Drosophila melanogaster: one gene and its partner. The protein of the gene in region 1 interacts with the protein of each later gene in a pairwise test. Each region holds a gene or a part of one and is shown on either strand. Other genes may lie near its edges.

The links.
Region 2: the proteins of Syx16 (region 1) and Vps45 interact in a two-hybrid assay, tested with the Drosophila melanogaster proteins (2 studies listed by BioGRID).

The regions. Positions count from the first base shown.
Region 1 is NC_004354.4:20,379,024-20,395,372, forward strand, and holds Syx16 (syntaxin 16), read right to left. Parts: upstream 14,729-16,349; 5' UTR 14,620-14,728; coding exon 14,539-14,619; intron 14,465-14,538; coding exon 14,331-14,464; intron 14,269-14,330; coding exon 13,425-14,268; 3' UTR 13,311-13,424; downstream 1-13,310. Other genes in the region: jb (jean-baptiste), read right to left, coding at 11,167-11,167, 11,232-11,360, 11,417-11,745; l(1)G0004 (lethal (1) G0004), read left to right, coding at 12,513-13,235; HERC2 (HECT and RLD domain containing protein 2), read left to right, coding at 15,857-16,349.
Region 2 is NT_033777.3:9,561,756-9,572,609, forward strand, and holds Vps45 (vacuolar protein sorting 45), read left to right. Parts: upstream 1-2,168; 5' UTR 2,169-2,270; coding exon 2,271-2,363; intron 2,364-2,426; coding exon 2,427-2,625; intron 2,626-2,676; coding exon 2,677-4,109; 3' UTR 4,110-4,337; downstream 4,338-10,854. Other genes in the region: CG9393 (uncharacterized protein), read right to left, coding at 172-246, 420-815, 1,062-1,340, 1,435-1,581, 1,681-1,767; CG16789 (uncharacterized protein), read left to right, coding at 4,469-4,708, 4,801-5,801, 5,856-6,764, 6,827-6,997, 7,051-7,225; CG16790 (uncharacterized protein), read right to left, coding at 7,496-7,832, 7,894-8,235, 8,288-8,385; CG9396 (uncharacterized protein), read right to left, coding at 8,728-8,994, 9,378-9,418, 9,477-9,624; CG9399 (uncharacterized protein), read right to left, coding at 10,742-10,854.

The DNA of each region.
Region 1 (16,349 bases):
TCCACAACACGAAGAACTTTTGCCATCGCACCCCAAAAACAATGCCGACCAGTGCCAACTTGTATTGCCGGTGGTTTAAGTTCGGGGGTTCGGGTTTTGGTGTTCTAGGGTTGGGATTAGGAAAAGGGGTAGGGAGAAATATTGACGGGGCCAAACTGTGGCATGACCAACGAAAATAATATGAAATAAATTCCAATAGAGCAGCCGAAGAAGAATGAGAAGTTGAGTGGGCTCGAGCCGGGGCCAATTGGGGATTGGGATTGGCCGAGATGAGTGGCTGGACAGGACCTGGAGCAACTGAGCTGGGGGGGTGTGTGGTGGTGTGGAGGCTTTTGGGGTTAGGCTTTAAGAGCGGACTGCAAAAGGACCGGCGAACAACAAATCCGTACAAATTGAATAAGAACTCAATCTTTGCTACTGTGCGAACAACTTTCTTGGGCGGCCAGCAGGACGAAGAGTCCTGTGAACAAGGCGGAATGATAAAAAAACACAAGCACACACCCAAGATGCGGAAAAACAGAAAGTACAAACGCAGTAGTGGAAATGGTTCGCCATGGAGGCAACTCTCTCCGGACTCAGGAATACTCCCTATTGATGTTGTCCTGATGTAAGTCAAATTCATATTGTTGTCGGATTTTAAATATGCCTTAAAAAATACCTTTAAAAGAACTTTATACATTACATGCAAAAATATACCCTCTTTAAGCGTTATTCGAATTGAAAATCACGAAAGACTTATTTCTTTAGACTTGACACAAGGCAATTGAACACGGCCGAAAAGTGCACAATTGATGGGTATTAAAGGGAATTGAATTGAAATTCCTTGGCAATTGTTTGTGTATCATTATGGTCATCATCAGTGCCCACGACTTTGTACTGAGTGTGTTTGATTGTGCCCGCTGTTATTATTATGGCTATCGATGCTCCCCGATGGATGGATGGGCTTGGCTTTAAAGCCGAGCCAACTTCGTATCGCCGGCACGTAGCCATAACCTAACTCAAGATCGGACTGCTTTAAGGTCGCGGGCTTGGGTGATTTCGGCATGGGTTCGGGCGGATTCAGGTGGCTTTCTAGGTGGGTATGGAGCCAGCACCCATCGATTGATTTAGCATTTGGGGTGTTCGGCGTTTGGCGTTTGGCACTCGGCACTTTGGCGGCTTTGTCGGCCTGTCGACGCACGCGGCACTATTAATTATCATGTTAAAATGTAATTAATTAAAGATGTCGTCAACGTGCGTTTGCACATAACTTTCAATGAAAAGTTAATAAATTACGTAGTGCCGAAAACGAAATTACAAACGCCATCATCGAGCCACGACAGCCGCAGCAACAAAAGCAGCAAAAACGCGGTCCACAATGATAACAAATCAAACGAAAATGTTTAACCTGCCCACTGACGTATCCGTATTCCCCTGTCCGTGTCCGTATGTGTCCGTATGTGTCCGTTCGTCTGTTTGTCCGTTTGTCCGTTCGTCGGGGTGTGGAAGGTGGGGAAAAACCACAGCAAAACAAATTAATAAATGCATAATAAATATGCGTAATAATAATGACTAAAGAAAAATCAGAAACAATAAATATTATTTGAGTAGTGTCGACCCACAAACCGAAGGCAAACAGCGGAATTAAAGGAGGATGGCCTGTATGGATGACATGTCATAAACGTTTATAAATGTTCATGTGCGTAAATAAAATCGTAACAATATTAAAACTGATGCGTAGCGCTATATTAAATAGATGTTTGCAGGGTCGACCCAGAGGGCCGGAAAATGGGAAATGGAAAGCGGTAAGGGAAGCGCGCTTTAAAATAATTTATCGCGTGCAATATTCACACACATGCTCAATACGTGCGCGTGTCCTCAAGCGCGTGACGCCCCCCATCCACTCAGAACTCCACATTTTCCATTTTTCTGGGTTCTGGGTGATGGGTGATGGGAGATGGGTGATCTTTTGGCTCCGACGACTCAAACACACATTTGTAAGCAAGTCAGGCAATCGCTTGCCCAATTAAGTGCGATGGAGCACCGGCTGAACGCAAGAACAACACAACACAACACAACACAACACATACAACCCCTGAGCGGCGGGCTCATAAATGTTATCACAATGGCTAATTCGACAAAGTCTAAACACTCGGATTCGTGTTGTCGGCATGCCGCCAGAAAATCACAAATTCAGCGCTGTTCCGCCCTCCTTCTCACTCTTCTTTGCAGCTCAATTAAAAGCGGCAAGAACATAAAAAGCTCCTTAAACTCGCAAAAATGCACTTTGATTCAAAATCCTCGTTAACGAGCGTGCTCACGGGAACCAAAAAAAAAAACGGCACTCAGTGAGAAAGTCGTTCTCAAATGCTCCTAATACTAAGCTTTTGCCTGCTCTTACTGGGGGTATAATGATTCAGTCAAAACAAAAAACAAGAGAGAATGCTATAGTCGAGTTCCCCGACTATCTGATACCCGTTACTCAGCTAACGTGAAAGCAAACGCAAAATTTCATAATTTTTCTTGGATATCGAGAAAATATTGGGGAATATATATAATATTGGTGGCAAAAAGTTCTTTGGCAAATCGATAGATATTTACAAGAAAAATGTAAAAAAAAATGTGAAAAAATATCATAACATTTATCAAAAGTGAGGGCGTGGCAGTTTTGTGCATTTTGTGGGCGTAAGAGCGTGGCAATTGGGTCAATGGGTCAACAAACTATATATACATTAATAAATTTTATGGTGCCTGCCTGTTACACACTTTTCAACGAATCTAGTATACCATTTTACTCTACGAGGAACGGGTAACTATCGGGAAGCATGGCATCGACTGGACGAGCGATATATGTAGCAAACAATCGCTAATTATTCGGTAATTCTTAAACAGTTTTTATGATCCTTCGATGACTGCCGATGGTGCAGACGAAGTTATTCGTGGTTTACAAGCTCTTAACTGTGAGGAGCGGGATCTCTGGCTAATTTTTTTGGTTTATGGAAACTAGCAAGTGCTGACAGCCGTGATTGACCATCAGTCTCACGCGAGGGATCTACAATTGGCCACAATCAACCGCTAGTTCGTGAAGGTCATCACTTGGGGAGCGAGTCTCCTACAGAAAAGCCTGCCGCAGAAAACAACATTAAGCATCATGCCGTGGGTAATATTCCGGCGGCAGGTTCTCAGACTCTGTGGCCAACGATCCTTGCCGACGTCATGGCAATACTACAACCTGCAGGCTGCTCTTGGACACTGGATCTACAATAACCTTGGCATCGGAATCATTTGTTCAGCGAATAGGCCTGCGTCGAACTCTCGCACGAATTTCTATTCTCGGTCGTCGTCGCCAACAGCGCGGGCATATCCAGCTGCGCTCTCGTCAATCGGGAGAATCTCTCGAATTGGTCTCGTTTATACTCACCTCATCTTTTACTTGGAAGCAAATCTGCGAGCTTCCTTTGGCACACCAGGAGCAGTCGATGTCATCGTTGGATCGGTTCAGCTCTGGTCTCTATTCACAAGAGAATGGATTGGTTTATTGAGGGTTTTTATTCTGCCTGCGATAATTGATATTGCTGTTACTCATCACGCAAACCTAGACACAATGGTTCGTTCATTCATAGAGATGGACAGCATTCAACCTAATCAGGCTCTCTTGGACGCTAACGATCCTGCAGAGCGTTATTTTGCTGCCACCCATTAGCGCTCGACGAAAGGGGTTTATGTCGTCGAGTAACCTTTCTAAGAGATGGCACCGCCTATTGAATCGACCTTGCCACAGGCCATCAATCGCCTGTTTTCGCTGGAACGGAAATTTCGTTGTTCTACAGAATTGAAGCAGCAGTACGAAGCTTTCCTGGACGACTACTTGCAACATGGACATATGGAACAAGTAACATCGGCTCAGCTTAAAGAGGCCCCAGATACTTGCTTCTACATCGTGGTGCTGCTGTCATCAAACTGGACAGCAAGACTGAGAATGACACGCCGCTTCATTTTCGCCTACTGACGATGACTCAGGGATTGGTACCGTCGCCTTTTTTTGGCTGTTCGATTTCTTAAGCAACTCGCCGACGATCATCACCTAGAGTATCCTGCAACAGTCCACGCACTTCTGCGCGATGTGAACGATATTCCTACAGGGTGCAACACCTTCGAGGACCTTATGATTGTAAAGGACGAGCTTATTGGACTCTTGGATAAAGGCAAATAAGGTAATAAAGGCAAAAACTACGGAGATGGAATTCCATCTTCCGAACAAACAAAATAAACTAAAAAGTAACACTGGCGGTTTATAAATTATTATAAGCAATTAGTATACAGCTGTTTCGATACAAGCTAGTCTTACAAATTCAAAGCTATCTGCATTTTTAAAGTTTTTTTTTTTCCTATTGCATGCTCCCTGCATTTGTGGAAGGAAACTGACCTAATCAGTCGACTGTCCTATCATTTTGTTGGTAATTCATCGACTTTTCCAAGGCGTTAGTCTTGTTGAGGGTCCCAATCTCCTGTTGTCTGAAAAGATACGTATGATTGAATAAGTGTAGATGAAACATGATTCCTCGTGAGATTTGTTTACCCGCCCAGAGGAGGCTCCAGCATCTGCCGCTTAGCCAACGGCTTCCCATCTGGATTTTATTCTGGTATCGCAGTTAGATCCCCAGTTGGGTCCTTCACGGGATGCGTTCGCTTCTTTGAGTTCAGTATTCTTTTGAAACCATCAAACTTATGTCAGTGCTCTCACCACGAATCACTTGAACTCACCCGCGCAACACACTGCAGTTGGTTTTGGAAATCAGCATATTTAGGCGTTTTTGCTTTTCGCGCGAAGGACTTCTGCTAGACCGCTCCAAGTTCAAGATCGAGAATTTGCCAGGTGCAGTCTGGGCAGACTTATTCACTATATTGGAAGGTAAGTCCTTAGTCTTGTTAGACTGATTGTCCATCCACTGATTGAATCGACGCGGAAACTGAGGCTGCCCCTCTTTCGGAATATTCCGGAGGAAAAAGGAACGTGCTTCGTTGTTCAAATTTGGCATCTTGAAGTTCCGTTGTGACATGGAAATGGTTTCTCTGGTGCGGTTTGTAGGTGTGAACTGAATTCAATATTGAAAATGAAAGAGTTGCTTATAATAAGTATACAAAATTATATCCAAATTTTTCATTATTATTCATTATTATTATTATTTAATGGCGTATGAAAACATTTTGGCGTAGCATGAAACTTTTAATGGAACTATTGATATGGGGACTTGGACAGCAGTAGATTGAAACGGCTTTTTGCCATAATTTTTCTTTAGACTGCCATTTGTTTGTGAGCCCTTTATTGTTGCGGCATTTTTAGTTTTCTCAAAACTTTACCAACCCGCACTGCACCACGGATGGGATTTTCGGTGGCCGCCTATTTCGATATGCATGCAAAGAAATGTCAAAATTCAATTTAATGCTGCCGTAACGAAAATCTGTCAGCTTGCAGCACAAGTAATGTCAAAGCCAAGCGCGCACACCCCCATGGAGACAGATGGAGAGTGAAACAGGAGGATTTGGAAAAGAGTTGAAGGCAGCCACAAAGTGATGCTCACACACACACACACACACACACACAAGCACTAACACTCACATGACGCACACAAAAGCCAAAGCAGGATGCTTGCGTCTGTCAGCGGCAATTGTGGCTGATTTGCGCTTTTTCCACGCCGCAAAAGCGAGGGGATGAGCCGAAAGTGGGCGGTAAAGGTGGTCAGGAGTTGGCGGGCGTGGTATGGAACACACAGCGTACAACATTCCAAGGCATTTGATAAACGTAGACGCATCGCAGTATACGTACCTTTTACTTCGACGACACCTCCTTAGAAATCCTGTTCTTTCTCCTTCTGCAAAGAAAACAATCACTTGAAATGTATGAAACTAAAATGCATTTGCTGTCATTAAATTGATAGAATTTCTTTGATATTCATATTTGGTCGCTAAGCGCGGCTCACAGAGAATAAATCATAGTCATAGGCATTCAAAACAATATCAAAAAAGGTATATTAGCACAAATCAAATCTCTTACAGCTATCATGCATGTTAATTGAAACTTAATAAAATTCAGACCGTCAATAATAATACTACAATTTGCAGATTTCGATCCCCCTTTAAATCAATACTTAACTTAGATGGAAAAAATTCTAGTGTGGAGAGACAATTTTGGCACCTCAAGAATCAATTAAAAATAAACATACATTTCTTTCGGAGATATGTGAGTGTGCACGGCCAGCAGTAAAAAATTAAACGGACCAAAAAGAAACAAAGAAATAAGCGGTATCAATCTGTAAATTGCAAAGACAAATTAAATTGCAGAAAAAAGTCTGCCCTTGAAAATCAATTGCACCATTCCGATCTGCTGGAGACCTTGGCCTTGAATACGATCCTAATTTCTAATACTTAGGCTTAGCCTTCCGCACCGTGGGACCAGGAGCGCGATTATGTGACGAAAGCGCTTTCGGGTGATCTTCCTGTGGAATTCAAGGCTTATATAAAGAAAAGTTTACCGATAAAAAACGAAATAATGCTCTCCTCGCTTATTCCATTTTTCTTCTTAAATGCCCTTCAATTTTGGGCTGCACTACACTCTTTTTCTTGGCCGACCCCTGAACTAAATGATTAAGATTAAGATTAATTATAAGATTTACTTATTGTCATACTTTTTTAAGACAGATTGTAAATAAAGAGAGAGAAAAAAAAATTATTCCGGACCGGACCGAGCTAGCTGTCTAGTTACGGAATCCCTTCGCGGTCGTCAACTTGGCCTTAAGATTTACGTCGACACATCCACGATATTCTCAAAGTGAAAATAATGCCGGAAAAGCCGCGTCCGTTGCTTCGCCGGACCGTCAGAAGTGGAAGAAAACCATCTTGGCCTTCGGGTTCCGGCCAAACCCATCTCTCTCTCTCTCTCTCTCTCTCTAAGTCCCACCGCCATTCCCATGGAACTGTAAATCAGCTCTGTTGCCTCTTTCAATCCGAAATTCTTGACTCGAAGAATTCTTCTTCTGCCCCAATTTTAGTTCTGGGATTCGAACATAGATGGCGGCCCCAAACCTTCTTACCCCACTAGCTGCCAGAAGCGCTACATTCCGCCGAATGGGGTTGACTGTTATGAATGGATAAGTAAGCAAGTTATTAGCATTGATTTTTAATTAAATCAATATAGGTACATTAAACATACATATGTATGTATGTACAAGTGTGCAACATGCAGATAGCCAAGGACAAGTCCCCTCGGAATTTCGATGCACGGCTCACAGACAGGGTCAAATCGTTGTGGAGGCCTGGGCTGTAGTGTGGCCACCTTGGAAATTAATTTCTCACGTTTCACGTACAATTTGTATGGCCGGAAGCGTTTTCAATCCGTTGCGGTGGTGCGGGCGTCGGCATCGGCATCCTCCCACTCCTCCCGGTCCTCCTACTCCACCCGCAGCCAGCTCGCTAATGAAGGTTTCATATTGCTCCTGGATCTGATGTGGCTGTTGTGGCACGGAATTATAAGGCGCACAAATCGCCGCACGTAGCAGCAGCAGCAACTTCTTCGTCTCGTCCTTTAACGGGACTGCAGTTCAGACTCCGGACAACGGACACCGGCACACTTATACGGACACGCCAGGGGCAGTGGCAACTTGTGTTTTTGGGGGGTCCTTTAATGGGCCTTTAACTCAAAGCTGCAACACTGGTTGCCTCTTAAAGAACTTATATACTTATATTTGTGTATGTAATGGGTATCGGATGGCTTATGCCTTTACATAATATTTATGCATTAGTATTAGCAAAGGACAACTAATAGTTGAAATCTCAATGGATATTAGATAATAAATACCAAACAAATTAAATCATTGTTATTTTTCAAACATATCAAATTTATCAGAAAAATAAACTTATTTTCGCTGCTCGTTTGTTCAAAGTCAGTGGTATGCAAGAGTTTATAATTAGTAACAAATTTAATTTTTTTATTACAGTTGACTTGGGGATATATTTGGAGCTAAAGTTCTCGCCATTAAGCTGCACTGCGAACTCGGACTTGGTGGGGCTACCCCTTCGTCTACGCCTCTGACACACACGCTCACACACACACACACACACACACACACACACACACACACACACACTTCGTACACGCTTCGTATTTGGAGCGTGTAAAGTGATTTTTGTGCTGGTGCTGTTGTTGTTCTTCCCGTGCTGGTCCTGTGCTGCCGTGTGCTTTGCTTTCCTTCGGTTATTATTAGCTTCCACTGGGCTTCGTGTTCCTGGGATTCCCCCACTTGCTCCTCCATTCGATTCCATGCGATACTCTGCTCTGCCATACCCATTCCTCGTGTGTGTGCGTGTGTGTGTGTGTTTGTCCAAATTGCACAGGATTATGGGTCTTAATTTTATGATTGCTTCTTTAATCAGCCTCCGTAACTGCACGCCAATTACGTCCTGCTCCGTGCTAATTGTTTCTATTTCTGTTTCGGTTTCTGTTTCTGCTGCCGTTTTTCTGCCTCCTTTTTTTTTGTTCGAGCCCCGCCCATCCCCGCCTCCGAGCCGTGCCCCGTAATCGATGTGTGCTTTTCGCGATTAGCCGAGCGCCAAATGAGCTGGACGCGACGGATGGAGGAGCACGTCTCCGATTGAGGCCCGCGACGCTCCCTCCACGAATCCATCTTATATTATAGTTTTGTTGGGAAGGGCGAGATGTTTGGGAGCAATCATGTCGAATTGCAGACTTGGCCCGACCAAGCTTGTCTTACACCGAGTTCGAGGAACTAGCAACGTATTTACCCGCAATGAAGGTGGCAACAATGTGTTTTGGGTGCTGAAAGCCAGTTGCCTCTTTGAAAATCTGGACTGTCCAGTTCCCATGATCCGGCCCAAGACATGGAACGTTTTTCATTTCAACCTGAGAAGCCACAATGAACTACCCGCAAATGGGACGGTGAATATATAAATATGGTTATTCAGCTAATGATGCCCGTGTTAGTGTCTGTCCATTATACCGCTGCAGGATGACACTGTTTTTGTTCTGCACATCGCCTCAGTTTCTTTCGAGCCGCAAGGATTTGGACCAAAAGTGATAGGATTTGGCAAATAGTCGGGGCAGCATCACCTTGTGTCGCAGGACCTTATACTAATGGCCAGCAAAGTGGCAGCGGAAAGAAGGAGCCGCAATAGGCGACGCTTAAGCGGCTTATCCTGGCGAAACAAGGGTGCGACTGCGACTGCGACTCAGGCACGGAGTATTAAAAAGGTACAAACATATGTATGTATATATGACTTTTGCTGGCCAAATGTGCATACACTTAAGTCAAAGTCAAACTGCGGTCGTAGCCATCAATGCACATCTGCGTTTGACCAAATCAATGTCGAACAGACCGGCAGTATCGCGGCCTAATTGCGAAATATGTACTTCAGTTTGGGCGTAGCTGTTGTTGATTTACTTCCCGTGTGGCTGACGCAGGATACATGCTCGCCTTTGAGGTCCTGGCCCGAATCTAAGCTCAACTAATTATAACTTTGGTGCAATTCGTTCAAAACCTTTGAGGCCCTTGCGCGTGTATTCGCGTTTTCATCTCGCGCTCGTCGTCGTTTTCGGAGCTACCAAGGCTACCAAGGATCTCCGAGGTGGGCGGTGCGGCTGAAGTGGGCGTGGCGCAACTCGAGCGGCGAGCGCTTTTAGGCGATTTTGCTGGCAAAATCATGTGCAGCCAACGGCTTCGAGAGTCATTAAGCTTATTAAGTGGGCGAGCAGATAACCCAAATGAGTGCATGCCAAATGAAAGCCAACGCAATTTGCACTCATATCGCCCACGAATTCCTTGCACTGTTAAAAAAAGAAGGAACTGAGCTCAGCTGGTTGGCGGATATATGCAGTCCCAGTTTCAAATGCCTAAATGCCCAGATAAGTGTATCAACAATTTGGACACCGATCGAAATGAAAGGAGTAGGTAAATTCTGATGCTATACACAATTATTTTTTAAAACGTGCATCGTTAACTGACTCGAAAAGTTTCTGGTTAATCCACTTCTTACTATAACCATTTGTAAGTTTGTATCAAAATCAAGATTTTTACAAAGAAAATAAACACTTCAACGTACCAAGTTTTGAAATATTCAAACCACATCAGTGTGTTGAATAACCCCAAAACAAAAAAAAAAAAAATATTTAGATAATAGAAACTGGATCTCAATGGAGTCTGCAATATCCGAATAGATAGCAGATGCTAAGTATGTATGTTTTATATATATATAAATTGCATCTTCAATACTCCGTAGTTCTTAAGCAAGTTTTGTCCAGTGTACTTATTCAAATAGCTCATGCTCATGGAAAAGTTTCCCAAGAGGCCGGAAAAGGGTCAGGAGGTGGAAGAGAAGAAATACGAGAAAGGGCGTGGGGAACCGGAAACGGAGAAGATAACAAACAAATTGCCAGTGCAATTGCAAGCTTGAGATTATCGCCTGCCTGCGGTGGCCGCATTACTCGCTCTTAACTTTACTTAACTCCACTTTGGCTTACTTAACTTTGCTTCAAGTGCAGGCCAATAGGAGGCATTGCAATGGCCTTCTTATCGCTGCGGTTGATGCAAAAGTAAGTCCCATTGCATCCCCAGAAACTTTTAATGGCTGCGAGAGGAGCGCCGCCTACGCTGACCACCATTAATCTGAAAACCTAATACCCGCCTGCGGCTAAACTTCAATTTACCCGCTTACTCGATTGCCATCTTTCGATAACGATTGGCGAGCACAGGCCTAAAAGCTAGCTGCTATGCCACGCAGGACACTCATGGTTTCCTTTTTGACATTAAATTCACTTAATAATATTACCTTTTCGCATTCTAATGCCGTTCCCCAATTATAAACGAATTTATATTCACACAACACATACATATATGTATATTTATATATTAAAAAGTCACATATACATATGCACATACTCCACGTCGACCATCGACTATCGGATACCCATTACTAAGCTAAAGGTGTATGAGCTATGTATGTATACCTTTTTGCGTGCCTCTTTTGCGAAACTCTTTCAATTACCGACCTTAACTGGTAAAATAAAACGGCTCTTCTGAACTATTTTGTGATTTATTTTTATAGTGATTTATTTAATGGTTCGTTAATGTCCTGTATGGTTGAGAGACTCTGAGGAAGAGACATTGGTCATTAGTGTCTGAAAAGATATGTATGATTGAATATGTGTAGAATGAAGGTAATTCCTCGTGAGACTTGTTTACCAGCCCTGAGGACGCTCTAGCTTTAGTCGCTTAGCCAACGGATTCCCATCTGGATTTTGCTCTGAAACCGAAGTTAAATACCCAGTTGGGTCCTCCACGGGAAACGTTCGCTTCTTTACGTCCAGCATGCTAATGAAACTATGAACTTTATGTCAGGACTCTCACCACGAATTACTTCAACTCACAGCAAATTGCTGCTGAACAACAGCTCATTTAGGCGCTCGTGCTCTTCGCGCGAAGGACTTCTGTTAGGCTGCTCCATGTCCAAGATCGAGTCCATTCCTGCCAGCATTGCGATCACGCTAGCTTGCAAGTTGCCATCATTGACAGATGCCGTCTGGGCAGACTTATTCACTGTATTGGATGGCAAACCCTTAGTCATCGTAGACTGATTGCCCATCCACTGATTGAATCCACGCGTAAACTGAGGCTGCAATTCTTCCGGAATATTCCGGAGGAAATAGGAATGGGATTCGTTGTTCGGATTTGGCATCTTGAAGTTCCGTTGTGACATGGAAATGGTTTCTCCGGTACGGGTTCTAGATGTGAACTGAATTCAATAGGGACCAAAGCAAACCAAATGTCAAAAATAGGCTACCTTTTGATTGATTGAAAATGAAAGGGTTGCATTTAATAATTATGCAAAAATGATTTATATTTAATTATATTATATATATTATAAAATTATTATGATATATTTAAATTATATTTATCCCACTCGTCTGTAGCTGATTAACAGTTATCTGAATATGATTCCAAAATTAAGATTAAGTATATATGTACATATATACTGTTATTATATATTAACAGTATATATATAACAGTATATATATACATATATATGGGCCTAACAGAAACCATTATTCCTTTCGGTACCCTTTGCCATCTTTTGAGAATTTACATTGTGTTGTTCTATATGACAGTGACGTCACCTTATAGCTTTAGGCTGTACTTGAATTATTACTTTTGAAACAGCAATAATTCAATGAGTGATCAAATATGAATTCGCACTTCAATCAGCCTTCAAATCCAATGATGTTTCTTATCAAGAATTCAGGCGTATTATATTTCGGAATTCTACATTCTACATACTTTTTAGCCAGTGTAGAATTGTACATACGCATTGGTATTTTCGTCGAAATTCAGTGGTGTGGTATTCAGCTACAGATGTATTTGAAATCTCAGATTCGAGCGCGGTCACACTGAGCACGTGGAGCAGACAAAGCAGCTGGATTGAGAAATTATTGGAAACAACGCAGTAAAAGCACAACAGATTGCACCATGGAGGCAGAGAACATCAGAGCAGACGCATTCGAGCCGGCGAAGAGAGCGACGAAGCGCGGAGCCAGCGGAGGCGGGCAGCAGGACGTGGAGATGCAGGTGGACGAGGCGACCGGCATTGAGGGCCAGGTGCTGGGATCTTCGCGAGCATCGGCGCCGCCCAAGGCAAAGCGGGCCAGAAGCGAGCTGCGCAAGGTATCCGTGCCGCCACACAGGTACTCCTCGCTCAAGGAGCACTGGATGAAGATCTTTACGCCCGTGGTGGAGCACATGAAGCTGCAGATCCGCTTCAACATGAAGGCGCGCCAGGTGGAGCTGCGTGTGGGCCCCGAGACGCCGGACATAGCCAACCTGCAGCGCGGCGCCGACTTCGTGCGCGCCTTTCTCTGCGGCTTCGAGGTGGACGACGCCCTGGCCCTGCTGCGTCTGGAGGACCTGTTCGTCGAGTCGTTCGAAATCAAGGACGTGAAGACGCTGCGCGGCGACCACCAGTCTCGCGCCATCGGCCGCCTCGCCGGCAAGGGCGGCCGCACCAAATTCACCATCGAGAACGTGACCAAGACCCGCATCGTGCTAGCCGATAGCAAGATCCACATCCTGGGCAGCTACCAGAACATTCAGCTTGCGCGCCGGGCCGTCTGCAACCTAATCCTCGGCTCGCCGCCCAGCAAGGTGTATGGCAACCTGCGGGCAGTCGCCTCGCGCCTCTCGGAGCGCATGTGATTGGGAGAGCGGACTGGAGTGGACTGGACTGGAGTGGAGTTCGACTTGAGAGGGAGTAGTTGCGGTTTTTTTTTTAGCATTAGCAATAAATAATAAATATAATAACATGTATTCAAACATTTACAATATACACAAACACACACAGCGAATGACGGGAATGAGGTCGGCCCACTGGAGGCGCGTGGGCAACTAGAGCTTGGTCAGGATGAGCAGCAGCAGCATGAAGAATGTGACCGCCGCCAGGACGAGAATGACGCACATCTTGCGGTTCTTGCGCTGATACATTTCCGCCTTGTGCAGCTGGCGCAATCCCTCCGAGACGCGCGTCTGCGTCTGCTCCACGTTGTAGTCGATGCGGTCGAGCACAGTGCCCTGCTCCTGGACCATGTGGCCCAGGTCCTTGAAGATGTCGTTCAGGTCGTAGATGGACTTGACTATCTTGGTCACCTCCTGCTCGCGGTGCTGCGCCACCCGCGTGTTCTCCTCCTCGAAGAGCAGCAGCTGCTGTTGGGTCATCCGGCTGGCCGGCGGCCTTTGGAAGTGATCGTCGATGGCCTGCTCGTCGTCCTCGAACAGATAGCCGTTGCCGGACTTGCCCTCCGCCGGCGGCTGCAGAAAGTTGTCGAAGGAGTCGACGAAGTTCTCGGCGCTCTGCTCGCCCAGCTCCACGTTTGTGAAGACGTCTCCAGCGCCAGCGCCGCCGCCGTCGTCGAAGTACTTCTGCGAGCGCTCCTCGCGGGAGTTCAGCTGAAGCAGGTAGGCATTCTGGCTGGCACGGAACTTCACCGTCAGCTCCTGCAGCTGGAGCAGGGCGCAGTGTACCGCGTTGACCGTCAGGCACTGCTCCATCTTGCTGCCCACGCCGATGCTGCTGCGCACGCACTGGATGTGCCGGTGCGTGGAGGTGATCAGCTTGGAGACGATTTGGCTGAGCACCTCGATGTCGCACTCGTCGTCCCGCTGATCATCGAAGGCGGGTCGCAGGAGGTGGCGTGCGTGCAGGGAGCCCAGTTCATCCAGCTTAGGCTTGATCCTGCAAACGAGTGATGGGAGTGAAGTTGAACCCTGCGCATGGACTACTGTTTGTTTACCCACTTAGACATGGTGTACTGCGCCTCCTCGAACTTGTCCAGCCAGGCGGGCGGCGTGCCGTAGTCGTCCTGCAGCTCCAGTCCCTCCTCCGCCTCGCGCACCGAGTGCTTTAGAAGGCGCTCCGCATCGCTGCCCCTCTGGAAGACGGAGAAACGCAAAACATATGTTAGTTGATGATAACAGTGAAGACCCCAGACGGAGACGCACTCACCCGATCGTCGTAGTGATTCCGGTTCTTGGACGCATTGTTGCGCATGATGACGAACACCTCCGTCAGGTTGCGCGACGTCATCCTGGCCGTCTGCTCCCGATTTCTTGGGGATTGGAAGGATTGATCCAAGTCCGCTGAAAACTCAATCAGATTTTTTCCAGTTTCGTTTTGACACAGCAGCGCAGTGTGCCCGCTGACTTGCTCGCCCAGAATACCGATAGTCGCCACGACGAACTGGTCACCCTGGCCTGAACGCACCGTTACATGTCCGAGAATTATACTTATTTTAAATATTATTTTCTTATTATCTGTAGAATCTGTACTTTATATGTATACTCCTAAACATCCTATTTGCGAAAGTGATTTTTTCAATATACGGATTGGATAGCTCCAATAGAAATATTCGGAAATTACAGAATATAGTATTGCTTTGTTGAGTTTCAACAATTTATAAAGTTAATTCTGTACACACCGTCACGTAAATTGAAATGCAATACTTTTAGCAATAAAACGACCGTAATAGTACAATAAAAGTATTCAATAATTTGTTATGTGCGTTCTCTTTTTTTGCGTTACGAAAGAGTAATATAACCGAATGATATTGTAAATGATTTTAGAATCAAGTACATTTTAGGCTAATGTTTAAAAATTACAAATTTACAGAATTTTAGGGAACTCATTATGAGTTTGGCTTAACGTTTTCTAATAGCCAGCTTCCACTGTACTGGGTTTTAATCCGTGACACAAGCCTGTGACTTAAGAACACTGAAGAGCTATCGAAAGGCAAAACATATCGATGGCTCGACCCCCTGATATCGATTACTTGATAGCTCAGTCAGTTTGCACCTCCCCCTGATATCGATTGCCATCAAACAATTTTATTTCATTTTAAAATAATTCCTTGATTTCAAATTGCATTGTACTGGTAACTGGCACTTCCAATTGTGACCCGAAAGCAGCAAGCGCGGAAAACGGAGAGTTCAAGTGCGGGTGGAAAAGTCAGGATGTCATAACTAACTCCGAGCGGAACAACGAAATGAGCAGTGCGGACAAGGATAACAACGAATTATCCTGATCCTGGACGCCCGATTGCAGTTGTGTGTGTGCTTGCGCGCGTGTGCGTGTGCTTAGTGTGTGTGCCAGTGACGACATTGACCCGCCTTCGCCCCCGCCCCCACCCGCGCTCCAACCCACCACCACACCCCCCTTGAAGGGGTAACTGTGCCATGCCATTGTCGTTGTTGTGGTTGTGGTCGAGCTCGTTTCTAGCCTGACTTCGGCGGTGGAGCACTAGGGAAGGCAACACGAAAACACAAACATGTTCAACCGCCAGGCGAGCGGAGGAGCCGGATCCAGTGGCCAGGGTGCTGGGTCCAGCCAGACCGCTTCTGCAGCACCAGTCTCCGCTGGAGTTGGAGTAGGAGGGGGTGGAGGTGCCAGTGGAGCAGCGGCAGGAGCAGGCTCCGCAGCAGGATCTGGATCGGGATCAGGTTCCGGATCAGCAGCACCGCCCAGCCATTCGCCCGATCTCTACCTGCGCCCGCTGCCCTTTCTGGACGCCAAGTGGCTGCGCGCCGATCTCATCGCCTCCCTGCGCAACGCCGCCGACGGCGCCGTACTGTGGAACCATCTGATCCAGGACTGCGAGCTGGTCTCGTCGCCTACCGCGCCGCTCCTAAATGCCCGCGGACAACTATCCTACCTGGGCGACGATGGCAAGCACTACTGCGGCGCTCAGCAGCTCAAGTGCTCCTGCTGCCAGCCGGAGTACTGCGGTCCTCTCTCCGCCTGCAATTGCGACGGCTGTCGGC
Region 2 (10,854 bases), on another chromosome or scaffold:
GAGGGGATCATTACCTGACGAAATTTTCGGTCCAAAGATTTATGGCCAAGTAAATCGATCTCCTTCAGTGTTTAGGTAAACCTTTAAAGCTGGACAGTTTTTGTGCTTCATCCCCACATTGTATTTTAAAATATATATACTATACACATAGATATCGTTGCAGAGATGCGATTAGTCTAGGCCCTCCTCCATCTCGTCATCCTCGTAATCTATGCCATCGTAGTCCGTCGAAGAGCGTGTCGTTAGCTGCAAGGATGAATCAATCGGAATTTGCAATTAACTGAGAATTTTGCACGTGCTCAAGCTGAGGCTGTCTACAAGAGTGTCTGGAGCCAACAGAAGACATTGAACCAGAACTATCGAATAAGCTCCATCAAGTCAAGAGTAAAGAACTACAAATTTCAGCCAAAAATACCCACCTGGTTGTAAATCCCACGCCATGCCGCAAACGCTCCCATGGCCAAGACGGCTCCCACGCCGGCTACTATTTTGGTGTTCAGCTCGGAGTCTAGGAACTTGCGCTCCGAGGCCGTCAGACTGGCCTCCGTGCCACTGGGTGTCTTTGTGAGCTTGACGGAACTGTATCCCTCGATGCGGAATATGTCCTTCGTGATGCGGTTGATAAAGTTCACTAGGTTTTGGCAGCCCTTAATGTGATTCTGCAGTGGATTGTTAGGCAGTGCGATCTTAAAGATGATGGCAAGATAGCTGTAGACAATGGCATCAAACTCGCTGTAGGTGTCGCCAAAGAACCACACCTTGCGACCCAATTTCCGGGAGAGCAGGTTCACCACTTTTTTGGCATTGACAACGAGCTGTAAAGTAAAATGATTAATTGATAGTTAAAGAAACGTCTTGCTTTTCACAACATTGATAAGATATATTGATAACAAAAGACCAATACATGAGAAACTGTTTCTTATTAATATAAACTGATGAAACGTTTCCAATCGAAATGCAGCTTGGGTGTAAAACATAGGTTAGATAAACAAATTAAAAAATCCTCGGATTTAAAGATACAATAATGTAATATGAGACAATATGAAATTGAAAGCACTCACGTAGTCGCCTTCGTGCTTGTCCAACTTGTCGTTCACATCGAAACCGGCCATCACCTGAACCACGTCGCAGGCTTCCCTTTGGTAGGACGACGGGTAGTAGAAGTTGAAGGGGAATGGCGTGCGCTTGGCGTAGAGGCCCCGCGTGGTTGTGTCAAAATTGTGAGGCTCTCCAAACAGGAAGTAGTGGTAGTAGGCATGCAGATTGGTGAACACCCAGTTGGCGTAGGCGGTGGACAAATGCTTTTGTTTAGTGCTTAAATGCGCATCTATCGGGTAACCCTGAAAGAATACGTCGAATTAAGCCCATAAAAAAACACATATCTATAAATAGAGCCTGCAGTTTGTTCACCCCGGCATTGTTTTGCTCACTCACCTCGAGATCCAGCACGCGCTTAATTTGCCTATAGCCCGCGAACTTCTGGTTGCCGATCTGCAGATACGGCAGCTTCCCGGCTCCCGAACGCAGCGGATTGGAGCTGGTCTGCACGTCCATGGGGCAGCGGGTGAATCGCAGGAGGCACTGTTTCCGGCAAAGAGGCGCTTTCATCAGTTTCTTTCATCATCTGCGATAATGGGCAAAACAGGCGTGCTGGCCGCCGTGTGATGCAACGGAACTTACCAGAGCACGTAAACATTCAAAATCTATGGACGGCAGTCCGTACTCCCCCTTGTACACATACAGCATGGCTCCCAGTTGCATCTCCATTGTGTCCTAGTCTATGCTTTGCTCGTACTCTTGTATTTAGCCGGTTTTCAACAGTCCACCTGCATATCAGCCATCCGAATTTGAATCCAAAAATATATGCCAGAATTTCTGGCCGACTGCTGCGAGTGCTTCAGACTGATAACTACTGGGCACTCGATATATCGCTCGAGCATATCGGCGCTTTATCGATTGCCGGCCAGGGATGTTGCTACTCGAAGTTTATTTTGGCTAATGAAAAGATACGGAATTATGTTTGAGCTTAATTGCTATTTATGTTTATCTTTATTGCTATTTTTATTATACTACCAAAAAATTGTAAGTTTTTATCTATATGCATTTTTACATATTCACATTATTTTACATTAGCTAGATCTAGCGAATGTTACCCAAATGTTTGGTCACCGCTGTTATCACGGAGCTATCGCAATTGGGGCATCTCCAACCCATCTGTTTGCGAAAAAAAACATTAATTTCTGATTTTCGCAGTAAATTAGTTAGCAGTCATGAATCTGATAAGCGGCATTAAGTTGTACATCGAGAAAATGTGCTCCGAGTCGGGACCGGGCATGAAAATCATTCTGCTGGACAAGGAGACGGTAAGTGCAAGGACTGACAATCAAATCCCCTGCCATATGATCAAAAATTCACATCATTCGCAGACCAGTATAATTTCGATGGCCTTTAGCCAATCGGACATGCTGCAACGGGAGGTGTACCTATTTGAGCGCCTGGACTCGGGAAGATCCAACGAGCGGTTAAAGTATCTAAAATGCATCGTCTTTATACGCCCCACCAAGCAGAACATCCAGCTACTGGCCAACGAGTTGCGGAACCCCAAATACAGCGCCTACTACATTTGTAAGTGGGTCAGTAGAAGCACCTTCGGAATAGTACTAAACTCATAAATAGATTTCAGCAACATCATTCCCCGGACGGACATTAAATACTTGGCAGAGTGCGACGAATCCGAATCGGTGCGAGAAGTGAAGGAACTGTATGCAGACTACCTGTGCGTCAACCCCAATCTGTTCTCATTAGGCATTCCCAATTGCATGGCGAATCTTAATTGGCTGCCGGACGCTCTCAACCGCAGCATGCAGGGCATCACAGCCGTGCTGTTGTCCCTTAAGCTGAACCCAGTGATCCGGTACCGAGCCGGTTCTCAGGCAGCGCAGCTTCTGGCCAAGCTCATATACGAGCAAATCACAAAAGAGTCCTCGCTATTCGACTTTCGCTCCAACATGGATGGCGCTGCGCCACCGCTGCTGCTTGTGCTGGACCGCAGGGACGATCCTGTGACGCCGCTTTTGCATCAGTGGACATACCAGGCCATGGTGCATGAGTTGCTGCACATAAAAAACAATCGATTGGACCTGTCCAATTGCCCCAATGTGCCGAAAGACTTCAAGGAGCTGGTCTTATCCGGTGATCAGGATGACTTCTATGGCAACAACATGTACGCCAACTACGGCGAAATCGGATCTACCATCAAACAACTGATGGAGGAGTTCCAGCGCAAGGCGAACGACCACAAGAAAGTGGAGAGCATAGCAGACATGAAGAACTTTATTGAGTCATATCCGCAGTTTAAAAAAATGTCTGGCACTGTGCAAAAGCATTTGTGTGTGATTGGAGAACTGTCGGCGCTGAGCAACAAGAGGAATCTCTTCGAGGTTTCCGAACTTGAACAGGAGATCGCTTGCAAGGCGGAGCACTCGGCCCAGCTGCAGAGAATCAAAAAACTAATTGCCGACGAACGGGTTTCCATCGATGATGCTCTTAAGTTGGTGGCACTTTATGCATTGCGATACGAGCGACACGCCAACTGCGACACATCTGGACTGCTGCAAATAATCAAAACGCGCGGTGGACGAGCGGCTATAGTGCCATCGTTGATTGAGTATGCTGGAACCCATGTACGACAAGGAGATCTCTTCAATATGGTGCGGATAACGGACGCCGTAAAGCTGACACGGAATTTGATTAAGGGCCTTAAGGGTGTGGAAAATGTCTTCACACAGCACACTCCTCTCCTGAAGGAAACTTTGGAGGACGTGTTTAAGGGCCGCGAGCTGGATCCCCTCTTCCCGGCCATCAATTCAGAGCTTGTGCCATTTCGACGACCACCGCAGGAGGTTGTCGTGTTCATTATTGGCGGTGCCACGTACGAGGAAGCCTTAGCGGTGCACCAGTTAAACAACGCCGGCTATAAAGTCATTCTTGGCGGCACCACCATCCATAACTCGCAGAGTTTTATCCAAGAGGTCGTGGCCGCCACTAGTGGCATTCAGTTTAAGCACACCAAATCCATGATCAAGTACTGTTCCACGGATAACATTTAAAGTCTATTTTGACTAGATAGCCCCAATTATATTGTTAACTATTTATTAACTAAATATGAATGTGCATTATGTATTAAGGTATTCCATGCATTGTACCAATTCAAATCCATTGGACTATTTAACCTTTTAAGCGTAACCATGTAAACATATTTATTGTTATTCTCGAGGGTAACACCAGGCAACGCCTTGGACAAAATGTATTATATACAACTATGTGTGTACAAAATTACTAAACTCTCGTTGTCCTTGCAATAATTCCACCCCGTTTCGGCAAAAAGTTCCTTGGCAACTCCCAGGCAACGTTTCGTTTGGCTCAAACAAGAATCTGATTTTTCATTGGAGGAGTATCATTGACCATCATGTCCAGCACATATTTCAATGATATCTGGCACCAATCCCAGCATGAATGCGAGCTTCTATCCACGATTGACTATGAGAGGCAGCACCAGGATGTGGAGACGACGGTGGCCACCATGAATGCAGCGGTCGGATCCGTCGCCGCCGATGCGGATGCCAAGGCCTTGCTGCAGTCCAGTCTGTACGAGTTCTATCTGCGCTACATATGTCTGAGCAATCGTTTGGAGGATGTCTATGATAATGTGGGTATACGACTTTCTTAAACAAAAGTGGGATATATATAAGGAGATGATATATCCTTTGACTCTGGTTTACTTCTCATCTTTCATCATAGATGATTCAGCCTCAGAAGCGCCAGTTGGTGCGTAAATTACTAGACGCCTGTCTGGGTCGAGTGGTGGAGCTGAAGCACGATCTCGTAAATATCGACTTGATGGAATTTAGCTACAACGACGAGGTGGTGGAACGCCTGCGCCTGACGCCCATGGAAACGGAGCTGAGGATACCACGCTACTTTCTGCGCGAGCGTCAGCAGGAGCTAGAGTTTCGAAAGAAGACCATGCATGAGATCCTAACGAAGCTGGGTTGGCTTGAGGAGCACGAGCTGGAGGAGACGGTTACCACCGAGATCGAAGCCATTAGGATGCTTCAAATGCACGAGCGAGCGCGACAAGGACGCTTGCGTGCCCACTTCATGAAGGAGATTCGCATCCTAAAGGAGAAGGGCAAGTCGGAGGAGCGCACCGAAAAGGAGCGCAGTGACTCTGGTCTTTTGGCTGCCATGAAGATTCAGAAGATGTGGCGTGGCCACACAGCCCGACGGATAACGCGGCGCCGCAAAATGGAGGAGATGATCCTAATCGGAATGCTGCCACCACCGCCGGCTGTGGTTAAGGAACGAGCCGAGAAGCTGGAGAAGCTGCAACACAACGAGAAGCGCTACCAGGCGCAAGCGTTTTACGGCAAAGAGTTTGAGGAGCGACAGAACGCACTAAAGGAGGAGATTCGGGCCAAGCACGGAGCCAGCATGAAGGAGGACATTGCCGATGAGATTCGGGCTTGGGTAAAGGACTGCTACGACAAGACTGGCAAGCTGCCGGACTTTCCATCCGAGGATCAGGGCGGCTCATTGCATATTTTCAGCAGACCTGGAACTGAGAGCGAGCACAGCCGTTCGTCGGCCCGCTCCTCCAAGGAGTCGCGAAAGACCAAGGATAAGTCCAAGTCACCCGCTCGCAGTGGTGACCTCAACGTCAACGAAAACCAAGACGAGGAAGTTAGCTTCCAGCCGGCACCGTCCGTTTGCCTGCCAGACATCCGTGCGGAGATCGATCTGTGAGTAAAGATATATAATAAATTGATCCAAATTTAATCTTTTTACAACTTCAGGTTTAACGATACCTGGCGTGATAAGGATGAAACCGGTGTGCTGAGCCAAGCGGCCTATGAGGACATGATCTACAGCGACAAGTACCAGGAGGTGGAGCTAGAATTTCGGCGCGCCGTCGACGATGTGATGCGCCAGGAGATCGAGCTGCTCCAAACGGCCGTCGGCAAGAAGGTGAAGAAGAGCAGCAAAAAAACTCGGCGATCCGGCAAGAAGAGCAAAAAGAAGAAGGAGAAGGATCTAACGCCGGATCGCACTACGGAGTCGCTGTACGAGGAGCTGGTCACGAATGGCATAATCCGGAAATACCCGGAGCTAAGGCTAAAGCAATTCCTGGGCGATAAGGCGTTGACTGCCAGGATTGGCACTAATCCCTCACCGGGCGACATTCGCCAGATTCTCACGGAGTACTGCATCCTTCCACTGGGATCTGATGCCATACATAACTGTACTCCACTGATACGTTCCATCCTGTTAGCTGGCCCCAAAGGATCTGGGAAGAAGGCACTGCTCCACGCCATTTGCACGGAGGTGGGTGCCGTGCTCTTTGATCTGACTCCTGCCAATATTGTTGGCAAGTATCCTGGCAAATCGGGACTGATAATGCTAATCCATCTGGTACTGAAAGTGTCGCGACTGCTCCAGCCTGCGGTGATATTCATGGGCGATGCGGAGCGGCCCTTCATGAAGAAAATTCCAAAGACGGATCGCACAGATCCCAAGCGACTGAAGAAGGATCTGCCCAAGTTGATAAAGAACATTGCGCCCGAGGATCGCGTCGTTTTCATTGGCACTTCCAATCTGCCCTGGGAGGCGGATCAAAAGCTATTGCAATCCGTCTACAATCGGTTCATCTATATTCCACGACCGGATTACGGCGCCATGTCACATGCCTGGAAAACATTGTTACAGTGCGTAAATGTGGGGGATTCATTTGCAAAATAATCTACTGATTTGGTTTGCACCCCGACAGCGATTACTCTGGTGGCATTTCCAATCTGGACACCAGCGCCATGGCCAAAATATCAGATGGCTATACCATTGGGTCCATCGATGCGTGCCTCAAGGAGGTGATGACCTGCAAGCGGAAACTCCAGCTGCGCACCCAACCATTGACCAATGCCGAACTGATCAATGTTCTGTGGTAAGTAGATTTGGCTATGAAATTAGTTAGTTGTTAGTTTCCATGCCTTTCAGCTCACGAGATCCCGTCTACCGCGAAGAGGAGGAAGCTTTCGAGTCCTGGTGGTCGAAGACCCCGCTCGGCCGCCGTCGTCAGCGGTTTTTGGAGCTGGAGGAGGAGCGATTACTGGAGGAGCAGGCGCAGGCGGCCAAGCAGGGAAATGGTAACAAGAAAAAGGGTCTTAATTAAAAGGTAATCACTGGACTTCTTATATTTAAGCCTAATTTGTAAGGAAACATCTTTGGATTGCTAATGGTAACCATTCATTCAACGCTATGGCTTGCTTTACAATCTTGCTTTTATTAGCAAACTACAATTTATATGTTCATATATATGAGCTAATATGGAACAGATTACATTTTTGATACCTAATAAAGTCAATATATATTTTCCACTACATTCCAATTGAAAGATCAGCATGCATAAATATTTATGATTCAGTTAAAGACTGGCAATATCCTATTTCAACGAGTAGGTAAAATCCTTGTTGCCGCACTTTAGGTGCACCTCATTGACCGCCAGGCAGAGTTTGTCCTGATCATCAAGGAGCTCTTTTAACTCCGTGAGCTTTTCGTTAAGCAGTGTCTCCTGGTCGCCAACGCACCAAAGAAGGCTGACGTGGAACGAGGCCGGATCATAGAACTGTTGCAGCCGGTAGTCGAGCATCACTTGGTCGATGGGCTGCAGAATGGCAGTCATCTTCTCCACAAATGCAGCGTCCAGGGGCGCAGCAATGAAGGTCCTGGTTCGCTCCTCATTCGTGTAGATCCGCAGCCCCTGCAAAGTGGCGGCGAATCTAAAAGAGGATTGGTCATCAGGATGGGAGATACTAGATTTAACTTGGTTAAACATCTCACCCCGCAGAGCTGTTGAGGGCGCTTTGCAAGGATCGGGAGAATTCATCGATCTGATGGTACTGCAGCACCACTGTTCGACTCAGGCTCAGATGGAGCGACTCGTTCGGCTGCAGTTCCAAGTGTGGCTCCAGACGAGCAATGGCCTCCGTTTGGAACTCCTCCAGCTGGTCAACACATGCTGTTGCCGGCACATAGACGTAAGTGGCCCAGTTTCCCCGTTCATGCTTGAAACTACGCATGCGGCCGCCATGTTCCGCGGGATCATCCACCACATCCTCGACGAACTCCTCGGGCTTGGGCTTCTTGGGGCCCAGCAGGGTGGCTGCTTTGGGTAGGGCCGGTCTTTGGCGGTTATAATGTAGAAATCTACGGGTATTCCAGTAAAGGACGTTACCTTTTCAAGGTGATCAACGCGGGAGTTTGAATGTTTTCGGTGCAGTCCTCATCCTCGGAGGCGGAGGAGCTGCTGCCACCATAGTCCACCAGGGCCATATTATTATTTATTTATGTATTTTTATTTGATTGCAGTAAACAAGAAATGACCAACAGCACAATGTTCGGCGGTTTTTATTTACATTTATCGATTAAATTGAAAGTGATGTGTATTTAGCTTGGTTTTAAATTTATGTTGATAAACTATTTTGTTTTAAGCAATTAAATTGCAATTAATAACATTAAAAAAAAGTTATAAAATTCACTTTTAATTATTTAAATAGTACTTATTTTTTTAACATTTTTTTACTGTAAAATTTCCACTTTAAATGTATTGACCGTTAAAGCCTTAAAACTTGTTTTTATTTAGACTAAATCCATTGAAATGCACAAATTGGACTACTACAAACTGGCTTCAATAGCCGGGCATTGCTCGCCATTTTTCTCCAGCCTCGACTGCTCCCACTGGTAGTTGTAGTACCTACCCAATTGGAAGAGCTGCGTCAGACTCACGAAGAGATTAACCGCGAACAAGCTGTAGTTCTTGGGAATGATCACCAGAGAGTAGCGCGTCCAGATGAGGTTCGTTGCCCCAAGAGCCAGACATCCGTTAGGCGAAATCTTGTCCGCAGGACGCGTCAAATCACTGAGACCCGCGATAACGAGGCTCTGTGGTGGAATATAAACGGAATGGTTGCGGAGATTAGGGAGATCTGGCCGATAGTGCAGGGTAAGTCCCCCCATTGACTGCAAATCTGAATAGCATGTTGGCAAAGCTCCCCCCAGTCAAAACAGTAAAAGTATTATGAAATATTCCATGAGCCCCACAAACCGCACAATCATTCAGTTATCAGAATCTCGCGCGTGGAGAGGAAAATGGTATATAAGTACATATATACATATTTATCGCGGGCTTGAACAGGTTTGCCGAGAACTAAACAAATAATAATAAAACACAATATTCGCCCACAGGTTTGTTTATCAGTACGGTGATAATGGGAATTGGCTAAGGACGCAGGGTTCATGGTTATGCAAGTAGTGCAAAAACTTACCCACTTAACGATTGGAGCCCAAAAGAATATGGTCTTGGGTCCTGAAGGAAAGATATGTTAGTTCCTCTCTGTGCTTAAAATGCTTCTATTTATGATCACCTGCTGGGTGCATCCACAAGGGTCGCATCTTGGGGGGCACATACTTGTCGCAGGCCTTGATAAGTCCATTATATGCCCTGGAGTGAAGACCCTTTCCGGCGGAAGCTGCAGCCGTGGGCGCAGGTGTTGTTGGAGGAGTGGCAGACATTCCGGAACGCTACTGTTTTTCCTATATTTTCCAACGTCCAACCAATAGCAGATGCACAGAGTAACTGCTGGTCAGGTTTGCGAATTGAGAGGAATTCTATATGGCCTACCTGTAATCAAGTATTTGTTGAGTATGGGCTGATTGATTGGAAGCGCTGGAATAACAATCGCCTGGGACTGCGATAAACCAGTTGGGAAGTAGTGCTCCTGAACAAACTGAGGCACAACAGCTCCAACCAGGCGTCCATCTACAACTGAGCTTTCCGAAAAGTCCGGGGTCCATGCACATATGTTTATGTTTCTCTAGTATTATTAGCTTAGCGCTCCTGTTATCACCAGCACTATCAGCCACTGGAATACGACGACGCCAGCCCCTTTTTTTGCACTTTGCTTTTGCCGCAAAACTAATATAAGCTCTTAGTTATATTCTCCTTTTATTGGTTTTTAATTAATTTGTGTTGACTAATTGTGTAAAACTCAACACAGTTATCGAACAGCGAATGTGCAAATAGATTCATCACACATGGCGTATGAGTTATCTTCTTGATAATCCGGTTTTATTGCAATCTAAGGATTTCTACTCTTTTGCAATTATTGTAATAACAGCTCATTTCATTTAAATCAGTCAAACATAATTGTATTAAATCAAAGAATAAGATATTGATTACCTTTGCCTTTTGGATATGTTTTCCTAATTTGGCATACTTAAAATAATACTTTTAAGAAAATATCTTTTAGCCAGTTTGGTTCATTTATATTACTGAATATAACCCATTGTTGGGCCACCATGTTGGGCCACATCCACTTTAATAAAACGAACAACTACGTTTATCTAGTGACTAAAGTCTTAAAATGTATTGATTTATCATTCTCGTTTCGATTTAACTATACGCAAAGCCTCCACAGTTACAACTTAAGTAATACGAATCACGTCGATAAGGCGGTGAACCATAAATAATAATGGTTAACAGGTTGTAAAACGCAGTTTCGCGATCTGCTAGTACAGCTTCCTCTTAATCCTTTCGTTTACGTTGCGCGTTGTGGGATTTGTATGTACATAAAAGTTCGATTAAAGTCTATATAAAGGGGACAGCACCGGTATTCGATTCGATATGTATCTAATTTTGCACCGCCGGCTGCTGCTGCTCCTGCTTCAGCTTCTCCTGACTCTGGTGGTAGTGGTAGGCCCGTGCCAGCTGCACCACCTGCGTGATGCCCACGAAGAGATTCA